Linked DNA regions of Cricetulus griseus. The protein of the gene in region 1 purifies or fractionates together with the protein of each later gene. This does not show direct contact. Links are inferred from orthologs where the notes say so. Each region holds a gene or a part of one and is shown in the gene's direction. Other genes may lie near its edges.

Region 1 (16,012 bases):
GCCTGGGCCTACTGAGGTCAGCTTTGGTGAATGCATCTGTGTGTGTGTGTGGGGGGGGGATAGATGTAATAAAAAGGTTATTTTGAACCCTTCAAAATAATGTACTTTGACTGGGCATATGCCTTAGTTGGTAGGGTTTTTGCCTGGTGTGATAGGCCCTGGGTTCAGTCCCTAGCACCATATAAATCCAGGATGTGTCCCCTGCTTATAATGCTAGCACTTGGTAGATGGAGGCAGTAGTTCAAGACCATCATAGGCCACTTAGAAAATTTGTGGCCAGTCTGGGACATAGGAGATCATGTTGTTGCAGATTATTATTATTATTAATAAATTATTTTGGTTTTTTGAGACAGGGTTTCTCTGTATAGCTTTGGAGCCTATCCTGGCATTCACTCTAGAGACCAGGCTGGCCTCAAACTCACAGAGATCCAACTGCCTCTGCCTCCGGAGTGCTGTTCTGGGATTAAAGGCATGCACCACCAATGTCTGGCCAGAATATTATTTTTTAAGGTGTTACATTTGTTAATGCTCTGAAACATTTGTTTCAATGATGCAATGATGTGTTGCATTCCTTTATGTTGCATTTGTTTAACTCTGTGAAGCTGTGTTACTTCCAGTGTTCAAAACACTTGATGGTCTAATAAAGAGCTGAACAGCCAATAGTGAGGTAGGAGAAAAGATAGGCAGGGCTGGCAGGCAGAGAGAATAAATAGGAGGAGAAATCTGGGAAGAAGGAACAAGACAGAACAAAGAAGAGGACTTCAGGGGCCAACCACCCAGCCACCCCATGGAGTAAGTGTGAGATTAAGATTTACAGAAGAAAAGGAAAAAAACAAAAGACAATAGGTATATGGGATAATAATTTAAGAAAAGCTGACTAGAAACAAGCCAAGCCAAACCGGGCTTTTATAATTAAGAATAAGCAGTGTGCAAGCCAGGTGTTGGTGATGCACACCTTTAATCCCAGCACTCAGGAGGCAGAGGCAGGTGGATCTCTGAGTTCAAGACCAGCCTGGTCTACAAGAGCTAGTTTCAGGACAGCCTCCAAGCCACAGAGAAACCCTGTCTCGAAAAACAAAATGTGTTTTTCAAAGATTTAATTATCTGTATAGGAATATTGTCTTAAGAGGCTAGAATACAGCATCAGATCTTCTGGAACTACAGTTACCATAGTTGTGAGCCGCCATGTATAGGAATCATCTTTCTAGCCCCCTTCTGATGTCTTTAAAAATTATTTTTAAAATTCTGGGGCAAGTGTAATAGCTCCGTTGTTGTCGAACTTACAACCTGAGTTTGATCCCCAGGACCCATGGTGGAAAGAGTAAACAAATTCCCATAATTCCCACAAGTTGTTCTCCAACCTCCACAGTGCTTCTACACATGTACACCTACACACATACTCATACACATAATGCAATAATGAACATCTAGTTTGGGGGCTCTTAAATTAATTTTTTAAGTTCCAAAGTAGTGGATTTATTATGTCATTTTCGTATTCATTTCACTCTGCTTTGTTATCATTTGTGCCTTCATACTGTATGGATAAATGTCAAGGGCCCTGATAAACCCTAAAATACAAAAGATACCTGTGACTATGTTTTTTTATTGTCTACAGTGGCTACCCAGTAAGCAATGGCTTTCCTGCAAGGGCTGCTGCCTGAGAGGATTCTGTTCTCTCAGTCACCTACTCTTTCAAAGCTATTTAGGGAAACTTTATCTCATCTAAAGAACTCACAATTCAAGGTTTGAGGTTGAATTCTGCTGGCCCAGAGAGGCTGAATAGCAAGGAGCTAACCTCCTTTGCTGGCATAGTCTCTCTGCCCCCACTTAAAAACCCTTGCTACATGTGATTTCTCCTTACCACTTCCTGTCAGCTACTTGCTGACTCAGCCTCCTGCTAGAAGGTTAATTTTATTTAATCAAACACATCTTTGAACAGATAGATATCCCTTCAAAGCAAAAAGTTAGCCTTCCCCAATTGTGTATAGAACTGGTCTATATTAAAACATGTTTAATGACTTCCCCAGGATTACGTCTTCATTAACTTAGAGGTTAAGCACTTGATTTTTATTTTATTTTGCTTTATTTTACTTTTAGGGTTTGTGAAACAGGACCTCCTGACAATCAATCCCTCAATGATAATCAACAAAGGGACTGTGAATATTTTGTTGACAGCCTTTTTGAGGAAGCAGAGAAGGTTGGGGCCAAATGCTTGTCCCCCACTGAACAGAAGAAACAGGTAAATGTTACTTAGTGACCTCTAGGAGGATCCCTGAAGTCAAAACTACTTTTGTAATAGTAAAGCTATTATTTACCATTTTCATTATGTTGAATTTGCACAGGTGTCAGAAAAGCAACAGTGAGTAAAGTTGTTGGCATCTGAGCAGGAAGCAAAACCAGCAAAACCAAGTTATAAACTGTTATATTACTTACTTGAATTTACAAACCAAATAAATGATGCTTCTAGTTAAGAATGTCTGTGATGGAGCTGAGGAGGTAGCTCAACTGAGAGAATGCTTACATAGCAGACACAAAGCTCTGCATTCAACCCAGCATTTTGTAAACTGGGCATGCTGATATGAATCTGTAATCCCGACACTCAGGAGATGGAGAGTCAGGAGAACTGGAAGTCTGAAGTTGTCCTCAGCCACATAATTAAGTCAAGGCTGGAATATTCAGGATGCAAGGTTTACGTGGCAGGCACTTTAAATGTGAGGAGCTAGATTGGGACTCCCAGCTGCCACATACATAAAAAACCAAAAGACTCATTCCCAGGGCTGGAGATGCAGAGAGACAGACCATCCCTGTGCTGGGTGGCTAGCCAATCTAGCTGAATTGGTGAACTCCAGGTTCAGTCAGAGATATTTCAGTCATGATAGTACCAATTATAAACATTGATGAATTATAGTTTAAAAAGTAAACAAAACCTGGAAATGGAACACATTTATATATTCATTTATTTATTTATGGTTTTTCAAGACAGGGTTTCTCTGTAGCATTGGAGCCTATCCTGGCACTCGCTCTGGAGACCAGGCTGGCCTCGAACTCACAGAGATCCGCCTGCCTGCCTCTGCCTCCCAAGTGCTGGGATTAAAGGTGTGTGCCACCAACACCCGGCTCGGAGCACATTTATTTATTTTATGTGTTTGAATGTTTTGTCTGAAGGTATGTATATGTATATCTACCACATGTGTGCTGGCTGCCAACAGAGAGAGCCAGTTCTCCTGGAACTAGACAGAGTTACAGATGTTTAGTGGAGCAGGTCCTAGGAACCAAACCAACAACGAGTACTCCTAACTGCCTAGTGGTCTTTTTTTTTAATAATTTATTTAACTTTATATATATTGGTATGAAGGTGTCAGATCCCCTGGAACTGGAGTTACAGACAGTTGTGAGCTGCCATGAGAGTGTTGGGAATTGGACCTGGGTCTTCTGAAAGAGCAGCCAGTGCTATTAACTGCTCAGCCAACTCCCTAGCCCTTTATTGGGATGGGATAAAATAACAATTAAAGAAGACACGGACTTCAAGTTCTGGCCTCTACATGCAGCATACACACACCCATTAGACTTGGCTATTTTGGCAGGCATTTCCACAGAAAAATTAAGTGAGCCTGGTACTTCAAGGGAGACAACTTAAAACTGTATTTGTTACAAATGCAAAGATTTTACTTAGTCAACTTTTAACCAGAATAGGAATTTGAAGAAATCTCTTTCATGCATTTGACAGCTTTTCAAACTTACAGAATTTCCTCTTGATGTTAGTGTTATTTTAATAGCTATAATGTCTATCAGATAAGGAAATACATTAGCATTTAGATTTTCAAGGCTTCAGGAACCACTATTTTCTAAATGACTAATATGTTATTATAAAGTCATTCATTAGCTGGGTGTGCTAGTGAAAGCCTGTGAACTCAGGTAGGAGGATCTGGAGTTCAAGGCCAGTCTAAGCTATTTAGTGAGCTCAGGATCAACCTTTCTTACAATTCATGCCTGCCTTTACTGCCTTTTAGGTAGATATAAATATAAAATTGTGGAAAAATGGATTCACAGTCAATGATGACTTTAGAAGTTACTCTGATGGTGCAAGTCAGCAGTTTCTGAACTCCATCAAAAAGGGGTAAGCAGGATATATATATATATATAGTAGAAGGGTACTTCAGGCTAGTTTCTTATGAAAGAATCATTGATCTTTATCTTTCTCCCCATCCCCTATCCCTCCCCTCTCACTCTCCCTCCAGGCTAGCCTTAGACTCAACAGTACACTGCCATCTTGTTTTCTCAGAACTGGGATTAAAGACCATGCCCACCCCAAACCCCTTTTGTTGTTGTTTTACTTTTTTTTGAGACACAGTTTCTCTGTGTGACAGTCCCTGCTATCCTGGTACTGTAAATCAGGCTGGCCTTGAGCTCACAGAGATCCTTTTGCCTCTGCCTCCCTAGTGCTGGGATGAAAGATGTGGTCCACCATGCCTGGCTTGTAGTGCCTTTTTTATTTTTTTTAAATTGACATTTTCCTTAGAGAGCCATAACTAATTTTTTTGTTTTATTGGTACTGGGTCTCAAAATACAATATTGGCTAACCTGGAGTGTACTATGTAGACCAGACTGGCCTCAAGTGGAATTATGGGCATGCACCAATAAGCCCAGGATACAGCTATAATTTTGAAGTTTAGGAATTTGAATTCTGATCCATCAAAGTCTTGCCACTTATTCCTTAATGCCATACAAATAAGTACATATACGTGCACACACACAATAAAACTTTTTAAATTAGCATCATGTTGCAGTGGTGGCGCACACCTTTAATCCCAGCACGTGGGAGGCAGAGGTAGGCAGATCTCTGAGTTCGAGGCTAGCCTGGTCTACTAGTTCCAGGACAGGCTCCAAAGCTACACAGAGAAACCCTGTCTGGAAAGAAAAACAAAACAACAACAAAAAAGTAGCAGTGTGTAATCAAGTATTATGAATTTAATACTATTCTAGGTAATGCTATAAAACTGGACATGTATCTATTTATTTATACATATAAGACACCCCTGTGTGCTACAGTGTCCATATTGGAAGTCAGAAGACACTTGGCAGGGGTTTGTTCTCTCCTTCTACCATATGGGTTCCAGAGATGAAACTCTTATTAGGCTTGGTAACAAGTACCTTTACCAGCCCTATATATTTTTACAAGGGTCTGTTGTAGTCTAGGCTGACCTCCAACTTGCTTTGTAGTCAAGGAGAACCTTGAACTTCTGATCATCCTGCTTCCATGTCCCAAGTGCTGGGATTGTAGTGTGTACCACCATGGCTTGCTTATATGCTGCTAAAGACCTGCACATGCTAGCCAAGTGCCCAGCCAGCTAAACTACCTCCTTAATCCATACATTATACTTCTACAAATCATGTAGTTCTTTTGGCATATGGAATATGTATCTCAGAAAAAGGGAAAATAGGAACTTCTTTTTTTTTTTTTTTAACTACTCATATTTACATATCCATTCCCCATTCCCTCGTCCTCCCCTCCTCCCATGTTCCCCACCCACACCCCACACCCCACAGGCCTCCCCACTTCTCCCCAGGGATAGTGAAGCCCTCTACCAAGGACCTTCAAAGTCTGTCATATTGTTTGGGGGAGAGTGTAGGCCCTCCTTGCTGTATCTGGCCTGCAATAGTATCCCTCCATAGGGAATGGGCTCCCAAAGCCTATTTGTGGGAAAACAGGAACTTTATCGTTTTCTTTTCTTTCAAAGGGAATTACCTTCAGAACTACAGGGAATTTTTGATAAAGAAGAGGTGGATGTTAAAGTTGAAGATAAAAAAAATGAAGTATGTATGTCTACAAAGCCTGTATTCCAGCCCTTCTCAGGACAGGGTCACAGACTAGGAAGGTAAGTATGGTTATTGTGACAGACGTTTTCTCATTATTCTAACCATATAGAACTTAGTATTTCTGCTGTTGGAAGTGATTTTCTTTTTTTTTTTTTTTTTTTTTCCTGATGCTGGGGCTCTAACCTAGGGCCCATAAAACATGTAAGGCAAATAGTTAAAACTGAAATAAATCCCAAGCTCCCAAATGAGATTTTTTTTTTTTTTTTTAATGCTGATTTGGTTTTGGTTAGCTTGTTTTAGGCAGGGTCTTCATATGACCAAGGATGGCTTTGAACTTCTGATCCTTCTGCCTCCACCCCTCTAGTGCTGTGATTATAATGTTTGCCATATGATTGGTTTTATGGGGTATTGCAGATTGGACCGAGAATTTGCGTATGCTAAGAAGCATTCTAACAACTGAGTACATACCCAGACCCTTATTTTCATTTATTACTAGTAGGAAGGTGTATACATTTTCAGCTTTACATATGGAAACTTGTAGGTATACCTTTTAAAATACTTTGCTTTTTTCCCCTTGATTAATCAAGGGCTAAACTCTACAGAGAAAATAATTCTTTTAGAGACTCATCCTGTACCCCAGGTAATGCTAATTTACATGTCATTCTGTAAGTTTACAGATTAATTGGGTATGCATAATTTTATTTAACTCCTAGAGTATATATGTTATGAACATAACTAACATGTTTATTACAAAGAGAGGAGTTGTGACTTAAAAAACTCTTCCTAGAAACTGAATGTAAAATTTTTATAATGAGAAAACATGTGTCTGACTTTATTATTCACATTTTCTTAGTGCTACACCAAAAGTCATTTCTAAAGCAAAGAGTATTGAAGTTGAAAATAAAAGTACTTTGTCTGCTGTTCCACTGAACAACTTGGAGCCCATCACCAGGATCCAGATCTGGTTGGCCAATGGGGAAAGGACTGTCCAAAGATTTAATGTTTCTCACAGGTCAGTCCTGATTCTGTGCTTGACTGATTTGTTTTCCAATTTTAAATTTTGTCTCTTCTTTTAAGTTTAGATAACACTGATTTTTGAGAACTAATGAAGGCTTTTTAAAATAGCTCTCCCAAGTTTAATGTGTCAATCAACATAGGATTCTTAGACTCAACTATGTTTAGTCAGAGGTATTTTTTGCTTTGTTTTGGAGTTTTTAAAGCCAGTATCATGGAGCTGGAGAGATGGTTCAGCAGTTAAGAGCACTGACTGTTCTTCCAGAGGTCCTGAGTTCAATTCCCAGCAACCACATGGTGGCTCACAACCACCCTGAATGAGATCTGGTGCCCTCTGCTGGCATGCAGGCAGAAGACTGTATGCATAATAAATGAATAAATAAAATCTTTAAAAAAAAAAAAAAAAAAGCCAGTATCATGTTGACTGGGGCTTCCATACTGAAGTAAGTTCATTCTCTCTATTATTTCATTGCCGAGTACCTCATATCCATTAGGCATATATGCCCTACCAGTAAACTACAGCCCAGACCAATTTTTGTCTGTCATATTCTACCATACATAAATAATTGTTTATCCATTTTATCCATTGGCAACAATCCAAGTTTAAATTTATTTATACAGATGTGTCAGTCCCCCTGCTGCACAGTACAGTCACAAAATCCCACAAAACATGATACTGAGTTTTAAAAAGTTATAGAACAGGGCAGGGTGTGGTGGTATAGACCTTCGTGCTGGGGCTTGGGAGGCAGAGGCAGTAGATCTCTGAGTTAGGCCAACCTGGTCTACATAGTGAGTTTCAGGCCAGGCCAGCCAAGGCTACACAGTGAGACCCTATTTCAAAAAAAAAAAAAAAAAAAAAGTTACATAACAAGTTCGCTATAATTGTACAATCTTTGTCTTGTGTTTTCTGGTATGGCTTTGTGGATCTCAGCTGGGCTCATTTCCAGGTCACTGACTCTGGGTCTGTTCTTCTGTCTCCCACTTTCTTAAACCAACAAAGGAGCTGGCCCTGTTCTTGTAGCAGAGGTAGAGGCACAAGATGCAGTTAGTCTCCTTTGAGTAAGAGTGCTCTTGTGTTACTCAGTATTATACTCTACTGGCCATGTTCTGTTTGTACAGAAGACGGTCTCTCTGTCTTCTCTCCCCTGCCATGGTGTCCATTTTAAATCAGATGCTTGCAGCTGCTCTGGACTCTCCATTATGTGTTTGTTGTTGTTGTTTGTTTGTTAATTTTTTGAGACAGGGTTTCTCTGTGTAATAATCCTGGCTGTCCTAGAACTCTCGTTGTAGACCAGGTACCTCCCAAGAGCTGGGATCAAAGGCGTGTACCACCACTGCCCAGGTGATCTGTTGGTTGCCCAGGTTTTCTTGGTTGGTTTGTTTTTATGTTTTTTTTAACTTTATTTTATGTGTGTTGATATGAAGGTGTCCAATCCCCTGGAACTGAAATTACTGATAGTTTTGAGCTGCCATGTGGGTCCTGGGACTTGAACTCAGGTCCTCTGAAATAGTAGCCATCTCTCCAGCCCCTGATCTGTTTATCTTTATGCCAGATCCACATTGTTGTTGTTTTCTTTTAATTATTGCTTCCCCACATACACAGCCAATGCTCAGGATTTAACCCAGGGCTTCCTTCATGATACTACCTAGCACTTTCACTTTATCAGTTACAAGAGGATTATACTAAAATCACCAATTAGAAATGTGTCTATTTTACCTTTTAATCTCTTAGTGTGTTTGCTTGCTTGAGGCATTTTCTTTCCTCCCTACATCTGTGTTTTTATGAGCTGGGGTCTCACTCTTTTTCCATGCTCAGTTTTGAACTCCACACCCACCCTGCTCTGTATATCTTAAGCTATGTCCCCCTGAGGCAAAATTCTTGTATTTTTCTGAATAATGTACCTCATAGGGGATTAAAGCATGTCTTCCTCACCATTAGTAGGCTAAGATCTCTAGTGTAAAATTTTTAGCTGGCTTACAGTGTTTATTAAGTGGATGGTTAGTCAGCTTGCATGGGCCATTTGCTTGTTTGTATCCCAGGTTGACCTGGAATTTTCTATAATTTAGGGTGACTTTCAGCTCACAATACTGCCTTAGCCACCCTTGTGCTAGGAATACAGGCTTGTACCACCATGTCCATATAGGATTTGTTTTTTTGTTTGATTTGGGTTGGGTTGGGTTTTCCAAGACAGGGTTTCTCTGTGTAGCCCTGGCTGTCCTGGAACTTGAATTGTAGACCAGGTTGGGCTCTGCCTCCCAAGTGCTGGAATTAAAGGCATGTGTGTCGTCACCACCCGGCCTTTTTTGAGAACAGGGTCTTATCTTACATCCCATTGTGTAATTCAGGCTGGCCTCAGACTAATGGAAGTCTTCCTGTCCCACCCAACCTTCTGAATGATTGGATTGTAGTCGTGTACCACCCATCATACCAAACTTTAGACTTTCCTTTTACCAATTGGAATGCTTGTTCTGTGTTTTTCAGGGATATATCTTTTATTTTTATTTATTTATTTATTTTGGGTTTTCGAGACAGGGTTTCTCTATGGCTTTGGAGGCTGTCCTGAAACTAGCTCTTGTAGACCAGGCCGCCTTGCATGCCTTTGATCCCAGCATTCAGGAGGCAGAGGCAGGCAGATCTATGTGAGTTCGAGGCCAGCCTGGTCTACAGAGCGAGTGCCAGGATAGGCTCCAAAGCTACACAGAGAAACCCTGTCTCAAAAAAAAAAAAAAAAAAAATCCAAATATCTATACAAGTTGATGCTACCTTAAATTAGCTACTTCAGGTTTTCATAAATTAATAGTTTGTGGTATTTTGCAGGGTGAGCCACATCAAAGACTTCATTGAAAAATACCAAGGATCTCAGAGAAGCCCCCCGTTTGCCCTGGCAACAGCTTTTCCTTTCCTCAGACTTCTGGATGAGACACTCACATTGGAAGAAGCAGATTTGCAGAATGCTGTGATCATTCAGAGACTCCAGATAACTTCGGAGCCTTTTAGAAAACTCTAACAGTTTTGATTTTTGAGAGACAGGGAAATGATGGTTGGAAGTGGACATGCAGAAGTGGGAGACAGAAGACAGTTTGATTGAGCTTGAGGTTTGAGTGCTGCTTAATTCCTTATGAGGGGCTTAAATAATCACAAGTTAGAGAATAATGTATAGCTGGAAACCAGTTAATGTACATTTCTCAAAGGCCACTCAGAAAAAAAGTATTTTCAAATACTTATTATAGTTAACCAATATATATTAAATAGCTGTATCATTAATCTTAATGTGTTCTAAAGTAGCAAAATATCCACAGCATTAGCATTGAAACATTATTTCCAAACAGCAGATTATTAATATAAATGTTAGCTATCTCAGTTTTAAATAGCAACACTTAAAATATTGTACATGACTTGTTAAAAACACCAATGTAATTATTATGTTGCCTAAGCCTTCTCAGATTTCACTCTATGATGGCAAGAGATATTCAAATATTAATTTGGCAATAGTATCCAAGATATATAATATTTTAGGAATAAAATCGTGTAGCTTAGTACAATGTCAGTATTGGGTGCCTACATACTTTTCTATACCTTTTATATGTAATTTTATGGGCTGGGGATGTAGTTCAATAGTAGAGTATTTGCCAAGTAGTTATGAGACTTTAGGTTCAGTCAGTCCCCAGCCAATATATATATATATATATATATATATATATATATATGTGTGTGTGTGTGTGTGTGTGTGTGTGTGTGTGTGTGTGTATTTTAATCCTTTTTTTAAAAGGATGCATATTTATTTAATGTATATAAAGATAATATATTAAAAAACGAGGAAAGGGAGTACCAAATTCAAGAGAAAAACATAAAATTCATACATTGGGCTTGAGGGCAGGGAATCATTAACATATGTAAGCATATAAAAAAAATAGCATACATGGCAGCCCCTTCAAGGGGGAATTTGTTCCACACCCAGCCCCCAAGGCCAGGGGCACCAGTCCAAAGGACAGAGAGAGGCCTAGGAAGAGGTCTTGAGGCAGTTGCAGACAGTTTCGAGCTCAACAGCTTGTCTACCATGGTGCAGGCAGAGCGTAGCCAGCTAGCCAGTTCCTTGCAGCAGCCATATTCCTCCAGAAGGCTTAGGCAGTATGTGCAGAAGTCCGTCTTGTCGATGTAGGTCACTGCTGCCATTGGAGGCACAGGATAAGTTTGGTGTGGTTCTGGAAGAAAATCTGTACACTGCTATTGCTGAGGTGCGGAATGATGGCCCTACATGTGCAGAGCCTTGTTTGCAGATAGGGAATGCTGGCCAGCTCATCATTTCCCCCGGGGTGTGATGCTGGCCCCTGCCTTCAGCAGGTGATCACTCATGTAATGGGCAGAAATACGTGAGGAAAGTGATCTTCTTCAAGGAGTTAGGGTGGGAGCTCATGGTGAGGTAGGACTCCGTGCTATCACACTATGTACTGTATGTAGGCTGTCACCATCATTGTAGAGGATGAGGTATGTTGAGTCATTGAAGAGCACCGCCATACTGCAAACCAAGAATTCTCCAAGAACCACAGTTCATTCTCTTCCAAATTTCTCCCCCAAAACTAGGAACTTATTTTCAGCTAGTTTTGTAATTAGCCATTTGTTTGCCACCTCTCAACTAGAATCTATTTTGTCATGTTATAAATTTGTGAATGTTTCTACATTTCTCATGTATCTACCCCCCCCCAAAAAAAAAAAAAAACAACAACAACAACAAAACAAAAAAGCCTCCTTTGTGGATTTCTCAGTTTCTAATTAACAGGATTTCTTGTGTGTCTTGTAGAGTACATGTCAGGGAGAGGTTCCAATAGGAAGAACAGTTATCAGCAATAACTCATGTTTTTTTAAACTGTGAAAACTGTTAGTATCAACAATGTTCTTAAAGATAATCATCTGATAAAGCTTTTTACTTGAAATTTAAAAGTTGTGAAGTGTCTAGAGTCCTTACCACAGGTTGACTTTGGAAAAATAAATGCCAAGGGAAGTAAAACTTGAAATAAGTGAACATTTTAGGAGTGGGAGCAGTTTGACCCAAGTCATTGCTTCAAATCTGTCACCAGTCAGTTATCTTGCAGATAAGGTGGACATACAGAAGTACATATCTGGTATACTTCATGTTTCCAAACATTGACAGTGCAGTATGTGTATTTATTTTAGTGCCTTAATATGTTGTAGAATATTATTTTAAGGTGTGTTACATTTGTTTATGCTCTGGAACATTTGTTTAAGGATGTAAAGATGTGTTGCTTTTGTTAATGCTGCAATTGTGTAACTCTGTGAAGCTGTGATTCTTTGCCTGTCTAAAACACCTGATGGTCTAATAAAGAGCTGAACAGCCAATAGCAAGGCAGGAGAAGGAATAGGCAGGGCTGGCAGGCAGAGAGAATAGATAGGAGGAGAAATGAGAAAGGGGCAAGATAGAACAAGGAGAGAGGATGATGTCAGGGGCCAGCCAGCCATCCAGGAGTAAGAGTGAAAGTAAGATATACAGAAGAAAAAGAAAAGGCCCAGAGGCAAAAGGTAGTCTGGATAATTTAAGAAAAACTAGCTAGAAACAAACCAAGCTAAGGCCAGGCATTCATAAGAAAAAATAAGCCTCTGTGTGGTTTATTTGGGAGCTGGGTGGCAGGCCCCGCAAAAGAGCCAAAGAGTAAACTACAAACAACATTAATATATTTTTGATGTGATATTTTGCTAATGGTTAAATGAACTATTCTAAGGTAAAGTGCTGTTCATTGAAAGGATCTGTTAATAATTTACATTTGTTATAAAACAGTTACATGTGAATGCTTTTGTCATTATTTGTCATTCGGTTTGAGAATCAATGATTATTTGTTAGATGCCTTTTCTTTAACCAGTGTTATTTTCATTTCATGTTCAGAAATGTGAAAAAGTGATATTTTAGTACCAGCCCAACGATTGTATTTGTTCTTAAGACATAGCATGGAGGTTTATTAATATATTCCTTTGTTCTTCTTTGCCAAAGAACAAACTGCTTTTCTAAAAAGTTGTTCATCACACTAGAATCTCAGAAATGACTTACTCATTACATTTATATTTTGCTCTTTGTCATTTGTTTTAAGTTGTTTTGGCACAGACAATTCATACTCATAATTCATACTCACTATAGAAAGTTATAAAACGCCAATTCCAAAGATAATCTCAGATTAAGTTGACATGGGTTCTCAAGATAGCTGTGCTGCCAGGCACAAAAAAAAGTCAATGATTTTTTAAGTCTATTCAACTATAGTATTCAACCAGGATATAATTTTGGAAATTTGCATCTCCTTGAAAAGGAACTCTTGCCGGGCGTTGGTGGCGCACGTCTTTAATCCCAGCACATGGGGGCAAGAGGCAGGCAGATCTCTGTGAGTTCGAGGCCAGCCTGGTCTACAAGAGCTAGTTCCAGGACAGCCTCCAAAGCCACAGAAAAACCAAAAAAAAAAAAAAAAAAGAACTCTTGAGTGTGGTAACGCACACCTTTCATCCCAGCACTCGAGGCAGAGGCAGACGGATCTCTGAGTTTGAGGCCAGCCTGGTCCACAATTCAAGTTCCAGGACAGCCAAGGCTACACAGGGAAATTGTCTCTAAGAAAGACATGCACAGCCATAGCCAGCACGAGGATGTTTTTATGTCCTTATAGTTCATCTGTGTATCTTTAGAGTATCACATTATGAATTTTAAAATGAGATTTTTTTCTGTTATTAAGAGCTATTTGTATATCCCAATATAAGTACTTTATAATTTGTGAATATTATCTCCCACACTTGGGAGAATATGATTATCTTGCCACGTGTGACTATTTGCAACACAAAGTTTGTGCAACTTGTGCTTGTGTCCTAAGGTACAGTTGTCTAATATGTACATTGCACCTATTGTTGCTGGGCTTAAGGTCACAGCCTGTGTCCCCAACAAACCAGGTTGAGCCGTCCATTCTCAATACACTAACTCAGTCAAATGCATGGTGAAAATTCAGTATGAGCACGTTGAGGACAGTAACCAAAAGATCCGATGACCTCCAAAGTCCAAGAGGGAGTAGAACTCCTCAGTCGGGCCAAGGTGGACTCAGAAAGACAAGTAGAGATCCTTCTCTAACAAGTTTCTTCAGGCTGCCCAGGGCCTTTCTCCCAGGAGTTGCTTGGTTTTGTTGTATTGTTGCCGGAGGAGGCTCTGACTGATTTCTGGGGTTCATTGTTTCAGTAGTCTGGTAATACAAGGCGGGCTGGTTACACTATTTTGACAGGAGTTTTATGCAGTGCGGCCCTTTCCCTTTTAAAGCACTTCCTGGGATATTGCACCTACCACACTTCACTCAGGCCCGGACTTAGTTGTATAGACAAACCTACCAGTTACCTATTATAGGAAAGCCTGGGAAATGTGTTGTTCGGGCTGAAAAGCCCACTCAGCTATAATTTTAGTCTGAACAAGTAGAGTGTATTGCTTCATTTAAAGGCTAAATTTATTTGCTGGCTTTCACCCAAGGGGTGGGGGGTGGGGTTAGCCGAGGGTTTCTATCTACAACACGTCACGTCTGCCAAGAAAAGAAAATCGCCGGTCCCCGAGGACTTGCCAGCTTTTCCTAGGTGTATGACGATAGGCGAGCTCCTCCTTGGAGAAGACAACCGGAAGCTTGGAGGTCCTGGGTATCCCCAAGCTGGGCAGACCACCGCAAAGGACTGCTGGGGCCCCAAGGGGCCGGCTGCCTGCACGCCCAGGGCCGCGCCCACTCGGCTGGACCCACCCCAAGCACAACAGAGCCCAGAGCTTCGCAGTCAGAGGAGCAGCCCTGAGATGTCATTGCCTCAGGAACCCACCCAGGCGGCCCGGGTCGCAGAGCCTCACACCCAGGAGCCAGGCTCGGTGAGCGCCAGGAGGGCGAGAGGGAAGCGGGTCTGCATGGCGCTCCCATGGGCAGGGTAGAGAGGCACCTGCCACAGCCCTTCATCCAGTTGTTGGGCAGAGTACAAAGTTTGGTGCCACTGGGATACCCCGGAGACCTGACATGAAGTAACAATTAGACAGGAAGGACCAGGTCTCTAGTGTCTTGATCCCAGGCCACTGCAGGTTTTCCCGGAAGCCTCTTCAGCGCTGGTAGATGTTAGTAAGGGTTCTGCCTCCTTCCACAAACTCCAGGCGTCTCTTGTGGACTTAGCCTCCCTCTGAAATACTGCTGACAGGCAAGGAGGGGCTTTGGAAGTATGGGGAGGGGGCAGGTGGGAACCCAAGGTGTTCTTAAGCCCTCTACCTTCTCTATGGGTAGAGGGGGGACTGAGGCTGAGGCCAATGCCAGAGAAGCATTAAGAGCCTCGGGCTGTGCCATACTCTATGGCTGCAATAGACTATATCATCCATCCTCTATCTTGATTCACTGTTTATTATCAGGCAAAAGAAAGACATCCCTCAACCGGGAGACCTCTGGTCCTTAGCATGCCTGTAGACCCAGATCCTGGCTAGGGAGCCTGAGGCAGGAATATTCCTGGAGCTTCTGGGAAGCATAGTAAGACCTTAATAATCTTAACAATCAGAAAAGTGGATGAGTAGAGATGTATGTAAGCCAGTAGCAGAGGGTTTGTCTAGCATGGTAAGACTCCTTCCTATACTGGGGCAGGGATGGGGTAGAGGACCCTCAGGGAACTCTCATTTTCCAGGAAAATTCAGGGAACTTGGGTGATATTACCGGCAGAGAGAGAACCCAGACTGCCATGAAGCCTCACTGTTTAATTATCCTAGTACTATGAGGTGTGTATATCTGAATTTTGCTTGTCAAAAAGCTGAGGCTCCACAAGGCTCAGTCCCTTACCTAGGTCACACAGCCAGCTTGTCAGTTCGTAAAATGCAGATTCCATGGACTGATGGGGTAAGGCGATCAAATGATCATTCCAAAGACTGCAAGACTGTACCACCTCAGTTTCTGCTGGAATTTGTTTGGTTGGCCCTCCCTTATCTAAAACCTCCATAGGCCCATTTGGGGGGGAACGAGACTCATTATGGGATGGGAATCCACTCACACTGCATTCTGCCAATTAAGCTTTTCTGGAAGTTGCAATAATGTCCACACCAATGTCAGAAAAAGAATGCACCCAGCCTTGAGAGTGGTTTTTCTCCTGGGGTAGGAAGCATGTGTGAAGGGTGTGATAAACCTTATCTGGGAAGACCTTCCCTTC
Region 2 (16,481 bases), on another chromosome or scaffold:
TGCTCTTAAACACCAAGCCATTTCTCCAGCCCCATTCTTTCATTTCTTACACAAGTCATCAAATATAGTACTATGATTGTAAAATCATGACTTTATTATCACACAGTAGCTAATCATCTTTCCCTCAGTTATGAGGGAATTTAACTCAGTAGTAAAGGGCTTACCTCCCAAGGCCCTGGGGTCCATCCCAGCGCGTGCATACACACACACACACACACACACACACACACACACACACACACACACACACACTTTTAGAAAAGGATTCACTACATATTGAGGCTGGCTTAGACACTGCTCTACAGTCCAAGGTGACCACAAATGCACAATCCTCCTGCCTCAGCTTCCTTAGTGCTACGATAAGGCATGTACCACCACACGGGCATGCTGCATCTTTTCATTAAAGCATGCACCTGTCCTCTATGAAGCATATGAAGGTATATACAGGGACATCCTTGTAGACAATATCCCTGGTTCAAGCACCTACTAGTGTACTTTCTCTGTATTCTAACTACTCATTTGCATTGAAAGAGAGAACACAGGCTTCAACTATGCAATCCCAGTCTCAGCTCTAGACCTGGCACAGGTGCTCAATACTTATCGAATAGACAGCTTTTTGTTGGGAAAGGAATTTCATGCCTTATGCATTAAAGGTATCTGTCAAACCATAGTGGACGTCTGATGAATGTCAACCTTAAAGGGGGGAGTGGGACTAATTTCAATTTCTACTTTGAAAGAGGACACAGGGATGAAATTTAAAGTGCCCTACCATCACGGGCTCAGCAACAGAGCTTTGCTAGATGAGCAAAATGACACCCAATTTCACCAAGTAAAATGGCTGGATCTTAGTAAAATGATGCCCTTTTCGACATCTTGCTGAGATTTTTTTTTTTTTTTAACTCCTTCCCCGGGGTTTTCTCGAACCTTAATTGCATGCACAGAAAGACAAATGAGGGCTCTCCTTGTGTCCTGTAAGACCAGCCTCAGCATGGCAATCAGGTTGGCTGCTGGAGGGGCTGCGAACGCTGATTTCGAGCTGGTCCTTCTTCAGAACACAAGTTTTCCTCACTTTGTAGCCTTCGGACAAGTGAATGAATCACTTGTCCTAGTGTTCACTTAGCTGATGGCAAGTATTTAGCCATGGGTGAATGGGAGCTTAGGGGAGTGGAAGGTGTTCTGCAAGAGAAAGCCAAACCTAATCCCTGGTAAATCAAAAGAGGTGCTTTGATTAATGATTAAAGAACCGAAGGGATAAGAGCCCTAATCTCACTTGTTCCACGATTTCCAAAGCCCGAAGATCCTTAGGAAGCTGACTCACTCAGTTGCTCCCAGCGACAACCAGTAGGGAGGGGGGGAGCAAAAGGATGCGCAATACTGAGCAGCCGCAAAGAAAAAAAAAAAGAAGAAGAAAAAGAAAAAGCCCCAGGAACCGGCGGGAGTTGTAGTTCTCCTTACCCGACGCACTCAGTGGCTCGGGGGAGGGGGGCCGAATAAGTACTTTTAAGGGGCCGTTCCCGCCCCCTTCCCCTGATAAGTGTGGGAAAACAAACAGTCCAGGATCGGTGGGGAGCCGGAGAGCAGCGGGTGGCCCGACGTTGGCTACTTGCCTCCGCTCGGCCCACGTCACAGCCTCCAGGCCGTGTGCAGCCTCCAATTCCCTCCCCGCCACAGGTCGCTCGACCAGGAGCGCTACGAACTATGACGTCACGACCCAACGGCCGCCGGGACGCCAGGGCGCTCTAGCCCGCCTGGTGCACTCGCTGCCCTGCGGTCGGCCGCTCTAGCCCGGTGCTGGGGATCTGAGCTCTCGTGGCTTCCGGTCCGCCGAACAAGTTTCCCCGCGGGCTGAGGTGCCGGACATCGGATTACCCGGTGAGAGGTGGACTCGGGTAAGGACCGCCCGGGACGCGATGGGGACCCACCTCCAAGACGAGACTCCTGCGTCTCACTCATAAACTTCTCTTTCCTTTTCCAGCTCTTGTCCGCCATGGAGCTGGCCAGCCCCGTCTCCAGCTTTCAGTCCGACTTGGATTTCTGCCCAGATTGCGGCTCGGTCCTGCCGCTGCCAGGAACTCAGGATGCTGTCGTCTGCCCTCGCTGTGGCTTCTCCATAGACGTGCGAGGTGGGTGAGGGGTTTGTACACGCTGGACGCAGCCGAGGGTGGGTCCAATGGAAGGGTCCGTGGGGGGGTGATGGGGGTGGGATGACCTCAGCACTGGTTGGGCTTAGGGACTCCAGACCCAGAACTGGAATCTGTCAGTCAGACTGACCCAGGGAAGACACCCAAAGAGAGGATGTGACCCAGGCGGAGCCTGCTCCAAAGACTCAGCTGGGTCACCCGAGTAGGGGGAGGATGGGAATTGAGAAACGGCAGCTAAAGAAACAGAGGCAGAAACGGGAGGACTGCCCGGTCCATGACTTTCAGCACACCGGACATCCCCGAGTTTAAACTAGACTCTGCATATACACAGACTAGAGGCAAAGCAGAATACGGAGCACTGTAATCAGTTAACTAGCTCCATGTACTGCCCTTGAATTAGAGGAGCAGGCGGGCTCACCATCAGGTGAGCCCTGCTAGCAGCGAGAAGCTTCATTTCCTATCTCTGTGTGCCTTTCAGCTGGCATCAGAAGCTTGTTAGATACTATGCTCTTTTCCACGAGCTTAATCAGAACTTTCGCGCGTCTCTCAAGGAGACTGAAACACGCAAGCTTTAACTCTAATGTCCTATAAGTCAGAGTAGACTCCAGATGGAGGCTGAGTCACTTGTGGGCTCCCGCTTGACCCACCTGCAAGTGTTGCTGGGATTCGTTGCCTCCTCTGCCATATCTACTAATTTTCTACTTCCTGTGCAGATTTCGAAGGGAAGGCTGTAAAGACCTCAGTCGTGTTCCACAAACTGGGGGCGGCTATACCTACGTCTGTGGAGGAAGGACCTGAATCCCAGGGACCAGTGGTAAGCTGATGAGTGGCTCCCAAAGAGCAATGAGAAGGTGATTGTGGAGATCTGGTTTTGCACTCCATTCCGGCAGAATGCCCGTGGTGGAGGTGGGGACGGGTTGTAACAGTCTAATTGCTGTAGGAAAGCAGAGTTATTGTTACTGGGTCTCCATAACCATCTGTTTCTTTCTAGGTTGACCGGCGATGCCCTCGATGTGGTCATGAGGGAATGGCGTACCACACCAGACAGATGCGTTCAGCTGATGAAGGGCAGACTGTCTTCTATACCTGTGTCAACTGCAAGTGAGAATCTTTTCTCTCCCTCTGCCCCTTCTCAGTGTTTACAAACAACAAAAGCCATGACAGACTTGTACTAAGTTATGTCATTTTGCCCAGTCCATAATAGGGAGGATCGTAGCCCCTTTTTATTTGTGTTTTGTGAGACAGGGGACTCACTTACATACCCAGACTAGCCTTGAACTCCCAACCATACAACCCAGGTTGGCCTCAAACCTTAAGCAGTTCTCCTCCCTCTGCTTCCTGAATGCTGAGATTCAAGCATGTGCCACTCCACCTGACTTGTTAAAAAGATGTTTATTTTTTTTAAGTTAATTTGTAGGTGTTTTTATACTTGAATGTGCAGATGCCCACCAAAGTCAGAAACATTAAATCCCCTGGAACTGGAGTTACAGGTAGTTACGAGCAGTCAGATGTGGGTGCTGAGAACTGAACTTGGATCCCTTGCAACAGTATGAGCTCTTAACTGCTGAGTTATCTCAATAAATAGCCCCGTTATTCTTGTGACAGCCAGTGAACTAAATCTTTTTTTTTCTTTAAATTAGAAACAAGCTTCATTTACGTGTCAATCTCAGTCCCCTCACCCTCCCCTCCTCCCCTTCCCCCCCCAACCAACCCCCATCCTATCCCCTTTCTGCTCCCTAGGAAGGGTGAGGCTTCCATGGGGGATCTTCAAAGTCTGTCATATCATTTGGAGCAGGGCTAGACCCTCCCCCCATGTATCTAGGCTGAGAGAGTATCCCTCTGTGGAATGGGCTCCCAAAGTCCATTCATGTACTAGGGATAAATACTGATCCACTACCAGAGGCCCCATAGATTAACCAGACCTCCAAACTGACATCCTGGTTCAGGAGGTGAACTAAATCTTTTAAGACATGTAAAAGGGCCGGGTGTTGGTGGCACACGCCTTTAATCCCAGCACTCGGGAGGCAGAGGCAGGCGAATCTCTGTGAGTTTGAGACTAGCCTGGTCTACAAGAGCTAGTTCCAGGACAGCCTCCAAAGCCACAGAGAAACCCTCTCTCAAAAAAAAATCAAAAAAAAAAAAAAAAAAAAAAAAAGATATGTAAAAGGAAAGCTGGGTGTGGTGACCCGAAGGAGGATCATTTTTCAAGGCCAGCCTGGGCTACACAGAGAGTCTGTAAAACACACAAAAAGCTACTAGAAAGGAAATTTTAGAACACAGACATCGGTTTGCACAGTGGCACAACATGATGAAATCTTCCACCGCAAAAGGGGTGTGACCTTACGTAGTTAATCTTGCATGATTCAAAGAACACGGTGGGAGTAGTTTGAAACCATCTTTGTCTTGGTTGTTGTGTAGTTCCGATGCAGAACATTAGCATGTGGCTTTCTGTATTTTTGCTTTTTGTTATTGTTTTCCTTCTTCCTGGGGTACTGCCAGCTTTATTCCAGGTTTTCGGGCATGGTTAGGAAGTGTTGTACCTTCAGCTGTACCCTGAGCTCTTCTCTATTTGCCCCTGTTTAGGATTTTAAATGGACTTTTTCCCTTTCTTTCTTGATCTAATCATCCTGCTTCCACCTCTGAAACACAAGGATTACAGGTTCCAGGTGTGTGCCACCACAGATGTTTCTTATGGTGCTGAAAATCTAACTCGGAGTTTCATGAGACCTACATAAGCACTCTACTAACGGAACTATATGCCCAGCCTCTCATTAGGCTTCTGAAGCTGAGAATTGATTCATATTTCATCAACCTTGGAAATTTATCAGCTGGTACTTCACTCCAATCTTGCTCCTCCCCATGTCCTCAAATTAGTTACTGGACTTTCACATTCTCATCTTGTCTTCTGTATTTCCCCTCCCATTTCTGTTTATACTGTCTTCTGGGCACTTCTCCAGATCTTTCCTGTAGGTCATTAATCTTGACTCAATTTGTATGTGTGTTTGGTGGTGAGAGTGTTGTGTGGTGTTCATGTGGATGTATGCACCTATCTGTGCAAGTGTGCATATGAAGGCCTAAGTTAGGCATTGAGTAGTTTCGTCAAGTGTCTTTATCTCAGCCTTCCTTTTTGTTTTGAGACAGGGTTTCACTATATTCTTAGTTGGTGTGGAACTCTGTGTAGACCATGCTGGCCTCAAACTCACAGGTACTCATCTTCCTCTGCCTCCAGAGTGCTGGCATTCATGGTGTGTGCCACCACTTCCAGCTCTCCACCTCATCTTTCGAGGCATTGTATCTGAGCCTGGAGCTCAGGCTAGGCTGGCTACCTAGTGAGCTTTGGACGTTCTTCCTGTCTGTCATTGTCCCATGCCTCCCAGCTTGAGTGGAGTCCATTCTGTACATGGGGACCGTGACACCAGAATCTTCTCTATTTTTAAATGGGTGCTGGGAATCCACACCCAAGTCCTCATGTATGTGCAGCAGACACTTTACCTGCTGAGCCTTCTCCTCAGCCCCTGGGTTATTACTACTTCTTTTCAAACCTCATGAATCATCTGAACAATGTAGCCCTTTAGTCGTTATAAAACTTCCAACTACTGTATTTAACATTTATTATTTTATGTGTATGAGTATTTTGCTTACATGTATGTCAGTGCACCATGTGCATGCCTGGTACCCACAGAAGTCAGAAAAGGGTTTCAGATTCCCTGGAACTGGAGTTACAGATGGTTCTGAACCACCATGTGGGTGCTAGGAATAAAACCTGGATTCTCTGCAAGAGCAATGAGTGCTCTTAACCACTGAGCCATCTCCCCAGCTCCCACTGATTTTAAATCGCTCCTTTTGTTCTTTAAATGTATATGAAACATACTAAACATGTTTATCTGAGTGTGGCAATTCTGATAGCCACTGTTTTTTGTGGGTCTGATGTCATTTCTGCTGATTTTCTTATGGTAGTTCTTAACTTTGTAATTTTTGACTGTATGCTATGATTTTAGAATTTGAACTTCTGGTTTCTTAAGGTCTGGGTGAATGCTGCATTCCCTGCATCTGTAGGGTTCTACAGATGTCCAGCTACAACGTCTCTAATTTTTATGAGGTCTAGTTTATCTTTTTCATTTTCTTGGCTGGTGCTTTTTCTGTCCTGGAAAAGAGTTTTCACACTTCAAGGTAATAAATAATTAGATATTAGTTACCTGGAGGTTAGAATTGAAGGTTTGTTGGGAGGAAGCTTACCCATCCCTGTCATAAGAAAAAGTCCTCCAGGGGTTTCTATCTCATATTACACTGCTAGAAATTCATTTTGGTTAAATATAACAAGTCCTTTCTTTCTCCCTAGGTTTCAGGAAAAGGAAGATTCTTGACCTTTTTTTTCCCTGGCAACTCAGCAACACCATTCCTCCTCTTGGAAGGTGAAGATATTGGTCCTTTGTTGCCTTCTCCTTCCCCGCTGGTGCTTTGTTCTCAGCATAAGATCATCACCCCCAGAGCACTCCTTCCCTTAGTTGAATTTACTAAAGTTATATTTTCTATGGAACCTTGGCATTATGTGTGTTATTTGTAGTCTTATTCTGGCCAGGCTGGTGGCATATGTCCTGTGATCCCAGAACTTCAGGGTGGAGGCAAGAAGGTTTCAAGCTTAAGGACAGGGAACTTACTATAATGAATCAAAGCCAGTCAAAGCTACCTAACAAGATGCCTAAAAACCAAAAATAACAATAATCTGTCTTATTCCAAAGGAAATTTAAATGACCTAGAATATAGCTTTAAAAAAAGAACAACAACAAAACTAAGGATAAAATAATGGAGTCTGGAATGAAGCTGTTATGTGTCTGGGGTCACTAAGAGAATCACCATGACCATAAATAAATTTTAATAAGAGGCTTTATTAAATACTGATACTGGATACTCATGGCACAAGGACTCCAACCAAAAGTGCTCCCAAAATGTAGCTTCTAGTTACATCAGCCCAAGGCTTATAAAGTCAAAAAATGGCAGGATTACATGTATTCTATGTGTAGGCAGGTCTGATTTTAACATACATGTCCTACAGTTGTCCTAGCCATTGAGCAGAGTAAGCAAGTTTGATTACAAAAGCAGAAATAGCAGTTAGTTTTATGACTTATTGTCTTGCTAAAATGGCAAATTTGACAAGATCTGTCAATTTAAGAATAGTCTTTACAGAGTGGTTGTGGTGCATGACTTTGATCACAGCACTTAGGAGACAGGGGCAGGCAAATCTCTTGAGTTCAAAGCCAGTCTGTTCTACAGAGCAAGTTCCAGGATGTCCAGGGCTACACAGATAAACCCCATCTGGGGGGGGGAAAGGAGTGGACTGGTAGGTTACAGCCTGTACAAGCTAGGGGCTTACACGTTAACAGGCTTTTTTTTTTTTTTTTTTTTTTTTTGGTCTCTCAAGCATAGTAACTCTAATTGTAATGTTAACCATTACAAAGGCAAAAAAAAAAAAGCTGTTAGACATATGCATATATTCTATCTAAATCTAGTTCCTCATTGTAAGGAAACAAAATATTTGGATAGGTAGTGTTGCACGAAAAAAATAAAAGACCGAGAGACAAATATTGGGGTTCAAGCTGAAGATCAGGGAAGCAAAGCAGCCAGCCACTAGCTCTCACCTCAAGCTCAAGCTGAAAGGGCAGATCCACACACGAGCTCTTCACCAAGCCTCAAACTGCTGCCTCTCCTCAGTGTGGCTGGAGAATGAATGCCTCCTACTGAATCCTGAAGACCCTGATTCTATCTTCTATACCCCTCTAGTGCTGGGATTAAAGGTGTGTTATCTGTCACTCTTTTAGACCGATTCAATGTCATGTATCCCTGGGTGGCCTTGAACTCAGAGAGATCCATCTACCACTTAATCCTGAGTTTCAGGACTAAAGGTGTGTACCACCACCTCCTAGCTTCTGACTGCTGGGATTAAAGGTGTGTGCCTGGCTTCTATGGCTTGTGGCTGACTTTGATTCTGAATCCTCAGGCAGGCTTTAATAAATCATAAATAATATATCACTGCAAGTGATTCAACAAAATTTAAGCAGATGTCTTTGAATTTGTTGCGGCGCCCCCCACAGCCTAGCCTTGGTATTCTTCAAACTGGGAACTAGAATAACAGGGAATACTTTTATTTTAGGACCTACCACGCTGGGAAAATTCCAAATTTAGTGTGCTCTCCCTCCCAGACTTACAGAGAGAGGACTAGAACCCAGTGCGTTTCCTGCTCCTGGAAAACGGTTTCTCGACAGAATGATAAGAAAATGGAACTTGGCCGAGTCCCACTTACTTTCCCGCCCAGGTTTATGGGTACAGCTGACAGGGTTAGGGGTGCTGAGCACACAGATCGCACATCCTCTGCGCTCCGCAGCTCCGGAGTTGACTCTTCCCCCAATGAACTTAGGCCCTGAAGGAGCTGGCCCCGCCCCACAGTGACGTCACTTCTGCTACCTGCGGCGTCTGCGCAGTGTTAGAATACGGCGGAACTGATCTGGCGACGCCTGCGCTTTTGCCCGAGCCGTGCCGGTGAAGGGAAACTGGGTTCTGCAGGATGCGTCACACCCGGAAGTGAAAGGCCGGAAGTGGGATTGGACAGGTTATGCCCAGGGGTGGGGAAGCAGAGGCCCTGGAGGAAGGGAAGAATAAGAATCCAGAGGTTCCTGGCCGCTACTCTGAATCGAGTACCGGATCTCTTAGATCCCAGAAGCGCAGAAAAAGGGAAGGGTGTCCCATCCCGCTTCCTGGCTTTTCGCTTTAGCCATGGCGGAGGCAGGGGCCGGGCTGAGTGAGACCGTCACTGAGACAACGGTTACCGTGACAACCGAGCCCGTGAGAAAGGCGGGCGGGGGGGCCTATTTAGGGGTCTGGGAGGAACTGGGAGGGAAGTAGGGCTTTGGAAAGTTGGAGGGTTTGGGATCTGGGACATGTGGGGATGACTCTTGGGAAGATCGCCAGGGACTGGGGATGCTTGGAGTGGCTCAGATCGTGATAGTGACCAGTCAAGGGACGTTACAGTCAGGGTATAGGTGTCACGGCTTGATGCGGTGGTCTGTGTACGTAATAAACGGAACCTGGGTTAAGGCAGCAAGGAAGGTCCTGGGAGGGAAGGAAAGGCTATTTGAGAAAGCATGGTTTTGGAGGCAAACGTAAAGGACGAGTACTTAACCAATAGATAGTCATGGAATGGGTGCGTGTTAAAGTGGGGGGCAGGGAATAAGGAAACAAAATAAGGTGAAGGTAGTATTTTGACAGATCAGAGAGGAGAGACGCAAATAAGGAAACAAGTAGAATTTTGCAAAAGCAAGTTAAATTGCTTTCAAGGGGAGGAAGATGGGTTGGGCGTAATGTCTGGGTTGAAGGAGTTTAGTAATTATTGCCAGAGATGCCAGGATGTTAGAGAATGAAGGCTTTCTTTGGAGAAGAAGGGTTTTGGATTTTTGTTTTATTTTGCTTGTTCAGGTGTGGCAGGGGCAGAAGTCAACCTTAGATTTTTCTCAGGCACGGTGTACCTGTTTGTGTGTGTGTGTGTGTGTGTTTTGTTTTGTTTTGTTTTGCTTTGCTTGTTGATTTGAGAAAATCATTTTTCCTGGAGCTGCCAAGTCAGCTAGACTGGCTGTCAAGAGATCTGCCTGTCTTCACATCTCCAGTACTGGTATTACAAACATGCACCACCACTACACCTAACTTTTTTTTTTTAAATATGGATTTTGGGAATCAAACTCAGGAAGCACTTTACCAACAGAACTGTCTCGGAAGCCCTGCTTTATTATTATTTTTTAAATTTTTATTTTGTTTTTGAAAGGAAAAGCTTTACCACATTGCAGAGGCTGGCTTCTGTTGGCTTCTGTCTCCGTCTCCTATATGCTTAGCTCACATGCTTCTAATCTCTTTAGCGGGAACGTAAGTAAGAGGTGTGGAGAAAGGAAGGAAGGCCAAAGACCAGTCACAGGGAACTGAGAAAATAACTCTCCGGTATTGGCACCACCAAGGATGATTTGGAAGGAAGATGAAGAAACAGGGAGGGTTGTGCTTTCCTTTGGAGATTTACCGGCACCTTCCCTAGGTTAAGGACTGTCCTTTTTGCATACTAGTAGTTTTCAAGAATAGGAGTTCACATTCCTCATGAAAAGGTTAAAAACATGGTCTGTTTTGGCTCCCAGCACCCGGCTCCTCCAGTGGCCTGGTGTATGGTACTGATTGAGCAAGGGAGGAGAAAAGAGGAGGTACCTTGGGAAACAGGAAAGGTCAAGAGGAGATTAGCTAGATGGGCCCATACCTCTTAACCTTACAGGAGAATCGGAGCCTAACCATTAAACTTCGGAAACGGAAGCCAGAGAAAAAGGTGGAATGGACAAGTGACACTGTGGACAATGAACACATGGGGCGCCGCTCATCAAAATGTGAGTGCTGTTGCCCCAGCAGCCCTCACCACTGCCTCCCAGACCTTTACGGTTCTCTTTACTTTCTTGGGAAAGAAAATAGATGGGGATAGAGCTAAAACTAAGAGTTGCCAAGTCTGTGGAGCAAGCCATGTCGGAGTGGGAGAAAGATGCTTCTGGGTCTCTGAAGAGACAAAGAGTGTGGATGCCAGAGTCCCTGGGGTGGGAGGCTTAAGGGGCATGGATTCTGGAAGGTGGGAGAAAAATTGCACATAAATCTGTTGGAAATGAAACAGACTGGACATTGTGTTCCTCATCCTTCTTAACTGATTTCCTCTCCCTACATCTAGGCTGCTGTATTTATGAGAAACCTCGGGCCTTTGGTGAGAGCTCCACCGAGAGTGAGGAGGATGAAGAAGAAGGTTGTGGTCACACACACTGTGTGCGGGGTCACCGCAAAGGACGGCGTCATTCAACCCCAGGACCCACTCCAACCACTCCCCCCCAGCCTCCTGACCCATCTCAGCCCCCTCCAGGACCTATGCAGCACTAAATCCCTCTCACCATGTGTCTGCCTGGCCCCAAATGTATCCATCTGGCTACATGGGGATTCAACCCATGGTCTGATCCCTTCTCCTGCCCCCTCCTTCCCTCTCCTGCCTGATAGAGAAGAGGAAGAGGAGGGTGGATAGAGATCCTGGAATTCTGACTTGCTGCTGTTCCAGAACCCAGGCTTCTGGGTTCTCCCAGCCTCTCCTTCCCTACAGTTTGCTCTGTGCCTGGGATTCAGGCATCTTGGTCTCAGTCTGTCCCTTTTGTTCTCACTGCCAAAACACCTGTCCTGGGATCCAGTTATCTTGGCCACCTGCACCCTTAGCTTGAGTCCCAAGCATTTAAATTGGGTTTTCAACCATCCCAGCTTTCACTGCCAGGACCCCAGTCAGATTCCAAGCAATATTGCACCCCAGCTCTGCATATTAATCCTGGCTTACAGTTCTTCCACTTACGAAGTTATCCTAAATCTTAGTCCTTGCCTGTGGGAATCTAAGGTTTTGGGGACACCATAGGGTTCTGCTCTTACCCCTTCTGACCCTCAAAAGGGTCAGAACCTATAATGGAAAGTGGACCCCAAAAATAGTCATGACCTGAATATAGCATTTCTGAGCTGGCTGAGACCAATGACTTAGAGCCTACAAGTTTCTCAGCCTTTAATCTTTGAGCTTCATCGCTGTTGTCTAAGGGGCCTGGGTCCCTTAAAGGAAAGAGGGAGAAAGCAGAGATGAGGGAACAGGCCCTGCAGTACACTCCTACCCTTTCCTGCCTGATGTCTCTGCCAGCCCAGGTGTCTTGCTCTCTCAGCCCTCCCCAACTGGTGCTGGGATCTGGGTATTGTCCTCCAGGCCTCTAGCTGTGCACAGTACAGAGATCAGCAAAACCCATACCACCACTGAGATCTCATTTATTGCCACAGATGCACAAAATAAATAACCCAACATTGCGCAATGTGTTAAATACAGGTCCATTTATACACATGGGGAGGATGGGAAACTATACAAGGATGTTTGGGATGCCTGGACTGCTCCCAGATTGAGAAGGGGGGTAGCACCGTCGGTTCTTTTGTGTGCAAGATGGATTTCCAAGAGGATGTTTAAAGGGAAGAGGCTATGAGCATAGAAAACAGTCATAGAAGAAGTATAGAGGGTGGACTAGCTTGCATACACATCCCAAAATTTATATTTTAGGTTTTGGGTCTGAAGGGCTTAGGTTATGAGTTGATCATCTTATTTTAGGAGGACCTATTTTTCTTGAGGGGAATTCAGGCTCCAGCCTTCCTACTGTGGATCAGGCCCTAGCCCTTTATGATTGGCGATAAATGTGGACTGTTTCCCAGTACTGGTGGTATAGAGCCTTTCCCTATCCCTGCCTGGAACGGTACAGAAAGGGAACTCAAAGAAAAGGTTGGGTTTGGGCATGGAGACGCAGGACCAGACTGGCTTAAAGGCACGGATGTACAAGCCATTTTGAGGTCTTGCTGTGGGAGAAAGAATGTGAGTGGGTAAAGGGTGCTTATTAATGCTCCTGCTGCGACAGGTGTACGGACAAGATTACTGAAATAGGTGGAGATTTCTGCACCAGAGAGAAGTAGCCTCCAGGCTAAACTAGGGTAGGAGGTAGGGAACCCAGACACTCAGCCTTCTCCAGGCACGATGCGCAGTGGGGAGCGGGGATCACAAGTACAGAGCAGCGGGAAGACCCGCTCCCCCAGCGGTCTGGGCGCCTGGAAGGCGAAGAGCAAGTCCAGTGAGCGGCCGTCATAGAAGGCCACACGGCCCCGCTCCCAGTCCAAGTCCACGCGAATGCGCTGAGGCGGGGGCCTGGCTCCGCCTAGCAGAGTGGGCTCTGGGGCCGTGAGTGCCCATAGGCGGCCGCCACGGCCCTCCACGGCCCAAACAGCCTCGGATGGGCACAGCTTGATGAGGCCCTTGCGCGTCACCGATTCCCCGGCCGCGCCCACGGCATAGCAGCTCTCTCCTGCATCCTCATTCTCCGAGGCAGAGTCTCTGAAGGACGCGCCCTCCACGGTCTCCACCTCCCAGCAGTGGCGGCCTGACGCGAAGCCCTGGGCACCCAGCACGGCTAGGAGCTGATCGAAGCGGGCAGGGCTGTCCAGCGGCTCTGGCGTTCCAGGTGGAGCCAGACTCACGCCTCGGTTGTCAGAGGAGATGAGCAGACCACGGTGTGCAGTGCGAGGGTCAAGTGTCAGATCAGCTGCAAAAGAGAGGCCGGGGAACACCACATGATAAGTTTCTTGAGTCCGGCCAAGAAGGGTGGAGAAGAGACCCTGTCTTAAGAACAAAACAAAAGGCATAAACCCTTGAATCTAAGCATCTGGGTGGGGTGCAGGAGCCAGGTCAGCAAGACTTCTGAGGGAGGCTGAAACCTGATAGGAACCAAAGTGATTGAAGGAGGGGCAAAGGGAGGACTCTAAGGTATCCAGTAAAACCAGGCCACTCACCCTCGCAGAGGCAGGAAGGGACAGGCCCGTTTCTATAGGAGATGCAGCCAGAGGAGAGACAGAGATGGCCAAAGGGACCAGAAAGAGCCACTGACTTTATAGGTGTGGGAGTGGGGGAGGGGAGCTTTAAGGAAACACTTCTGGATTAGGAGCTAGAAGTAATTTGGATTAAGTGAGATGAATGTGTGACTAAGGGGTAGAGCATCTTCTCCAGGCACTTTAAAAACAAATGGAGAGCTAACTTGGGAATGGGCAAAGGGGTAAGAGATACTGGACTCTCCGGACCCTTCTCAAGAGCAAAGGGAGAGGGTAGAAGCAGGGGTTCCTGAGAGCGATCGGGTACCGTTTAGGTGTCCACAAAAGGATGAGGGAAAGTGGCCGAGATCTGAGGAATTAAGGATGATGTTCTGAGTTTAATCCTGCGTCCCGCCAGGTGTGGTGTTACATACTTGTAGCCTCTGCACATTAGAGGAAGGTTAGAGGCAGAGACAGGAAGGAAGGGATTGACTTCTACACCAGCCTGGGAGACACAGGAAGACACTGTTTAAAAAGACTGGAGAAGTTTCACTTTTGTTACCCAACTTTCTGAATTTACTCTACGTGGGAAAAGTATTTTCACAAAGGGAATCAGGTAAATACTGAGACCAATATTCGGGTGGGCCCTGATGCAGTATGACCACTACCTTAAAGGGGAGAGGAGACACTGAGACACAGACAAGGCACACAGAAGGAACCCCAGGTAAGACTATATATGGGCCAAAGGAGTGCTGAGGCTTCCAGAACCCAGGGGAGAGGCATGCAACAGATTTCTCCTGAGCCCTCACACTTCTACCTCTATACTTTGAGGTGTGGATGGTTGCTCAGTTCACCTGTTGTTGGCACTTTGTTATTTCAGCCCTAGGACATCAAAACCGATACCAAAAGGGGCTTCACCATTTCTGACAGTTGAAAGGAAGCAAACAGCACACATTACGTTCCCCTTCCCTTCCCTCCTCACCTGTCAGTCTGTGAAGCATGTTCTTTACCACAGGGTAATCTTCAGGTAGCTCCTCCCCTGAGTTAGATGACTTGGGTGTTGGGACATCAAATCTGGACAAATGAAGGAAGTTGTCAGCATTCTTGTGTCTTGATGCTAGTTCGGATGACCCCAATCCTAACCCACTTGCTCTCAACAGAAACAGGTGAGGCTATACTCCAGAAAGCCTATTGGTAAGTGGAGACAAAGATCTGGCCCTGGAGAGGAGGTGATGGCTATGGCAGCAGGCAGTTGAAAGGAAGAAACGGTAAAAATGGAACTCACCGTCTCCATGTCTTCCTCATATCCTGGTATGGGCAGAAGAAAAACAACATGGGTGTGAGCATCAGGTTCACCCTGGAGGATCCTCCCCTCCACCTCAGGGGAGGGTTGATACCCTCTGAGTGGTTGATACCCTCCCACCTCTTAAAATGATGTCCCTTTCCTCCCTCTGCTGCATTTTCCTCTTCTGCTCTCCCGTCTTCTTCCATGGCCTTCTGTTCTGCTCACTCCAAAATCACTTTCTCTTCATGCTCCTGACTCCATCCTCCAAGGGTTCTTCTCCCTTCCTCGGCCTCCACATAACTACTTCTTACCTCGTGTTAATCCCCCAGGCCCACGCTCTCACTCTCTTTCAGTAGTGCTATCCTTGAGTGTGTTCCAGACAAATGCCCATCTCTTCTCCATAAAATGTGAACACACACCCATGTTCCTTGAGTTGAGTTGTTATATGAAAGCCTCACAATAAAGCTGCTTCCCCTCTTGTCTTAAAAGCTCAGTGGCGTTTATTGGCCTCTTTGTTTTATGTCATCTCTACCCCCAGGCCCCTGAACTCTGAAGTGTCCCAAGAGGCCCTACAGATTTCGGAGGGAACCACGGCAGCCAGAAGAGGGCGCTGGGTTCTCTCCCCTCCAGCACTGGGGTTCCTCCATCCCTCTTTTCTGTTGCCCAGTGAGGATGGCTGTAGAGTCCAGTAATGTGGCAAGGGGGAAAAGGATGGCAATTACACCTAGACTAATTAAATCTGTGTGGCCTTCGAAGGGCGGAAGCAGGACCCAGGGCAGGAGGGCTGCTAAGGGGAAGTAAACCAGATGAGATCCCCTTGAGGAATGGGAGTGGTTGGTGTCCAAAGGGGCCCAGGGAGGGCCTAGTGAGGAGACTGTAGGGCTGCAACGTGGCTACCAGCCAGAGGCCTGCCAGCTGCTCACCCGGACCTAACCTCCGCCTGTTTCCACCCCTGCCTGGGGACCTGGGAGGAGTTGAGAACAATAACAACTTACAGCTCAGCTAGAGCTTGTTAGGAGAACCCCTGCCTCACTTGCAGCGTTTGGATCTGCCTACCACGCCCCCACCCCATTTGCCAGTCTCCTACACTTCTGCTTTTTCTGCACCCACTCTCAACCTTGACTCCAGTAAGTGTTCATTCGGTCCTATCTCCACCCTCCCTGGGCTCCTCCTTGCCTAACCTGGGTGTCTGCTCGCATCGCCCCCCCCGCCCCGCTTTCTGGCTCCCACCCATGAGTCCCGACTTCAATCTCCATAGTCTTGTCAGGAGGCTTCTGAGATCTCCAGGGGGCTCAGTGTCCTATCTGCCACCAGCATGCTTCTGCCTCTTGACCTCCAGTTCCACTGATAAGACTCAGGCAGCTATATGTCCAGCCTCCTCCTCCTCCCCTAACCAAGTGTCAACTCCTTCCAACTTTTTCTAACTTCCCTTCTCAAACTATTCACTTAAGACTTGGCCTCTCTCTCTCTCTCTCTCTCTCTCTCTCTCTCTCTCTCTCTCTCTCTCTCTCTCTCTCTCTCTCTCTCTCTCCATTTCGCCCTTTCCCTTCCTCTCTCTTAAAATTTTTATTTTAAATTCCTCTCTCTTTTCTATGTAGCCATCTCTGAATTGGAACTCGCTATGTGTACCAAGATGG

What was found.
Region 2: the proteins of Ubxn2a (region 1) and Ppp1r11 purify together in Homo sapiens (affinity purification with mass spectrometry; 3 studies listed by BioGRID and IntAct, counting the BioPlex papers as one, with this or other methods). This does not show direct contact. The link is inferred for Cricetulus griseus from reciprocal best matches to the Homo sapiens genes UBXN2A and PPP1R11.

Annotation. Positions count from the first base shown.
Region 1 is NC_048600.1:15,648,099-15,664,110, reverse strand, and holds the end of Ubxn2a (UBX domain-containing protein 2A), read left to right. Parts: intron 1-2,097; coding exon 2,098-2,239; intron 2,240-4,010; coding exon 4,011-4,117; intron 4,118-5,738; coding exon 5,739-5,876; intron 5,877-6,670; coding exon 6,671-6,829; intron 6,830-9,649; coding exon 9,650-9,839; 3' UTR 9,840-11,579; downstream 11,580-16,012. Other genes in the region: Mfsd2b (major facilitator superfamily domain-containing protein 2B), read left to right, coding at 14,640-14,708. UniProt on the Homo sapiens protein: Acts to repress the ubiquitination and subsequent endoplasmic reticulum-associated degradation of CHRNA3 by the STUB1-VCP-UBXN2A complex in cortical neurons.
Region 2 is NW_023276806.1:228,765,229-228,781,709, forward strand, and holds Ppp1r11 (E3 ubiquitin-protein ligase PPP1R11), read left to right. Parts: upstream 1-8,751; 5' UTR 8,752-8,909; coding exon 8,910-8,978; intron 8,979-10,440; coding exon 10,441-10,549; intron 10,550-10,878; coding exon 10,879-11,081; 3' UTR 11,082-12,031; downstream 12,032-16,481. Other genes in the region: Polr1h (DNA-directed RNA polymerase I subunit RPA12), read left to right, coding at 1,988-2,123, 2,855-2,955, 3,133-3,242, 6,481-6,505; Rnf39 (RING finger protein 39), read right to left, coding at 12,717-13,297, 14,542-14,633, 14,845-14,867. UniProt on the Homo sapiens protein: Atypical E3 ubiquitin-protein ligase which ubiquitinates TLR2 at 'Lys-754' leading to its degradation by the proteasome.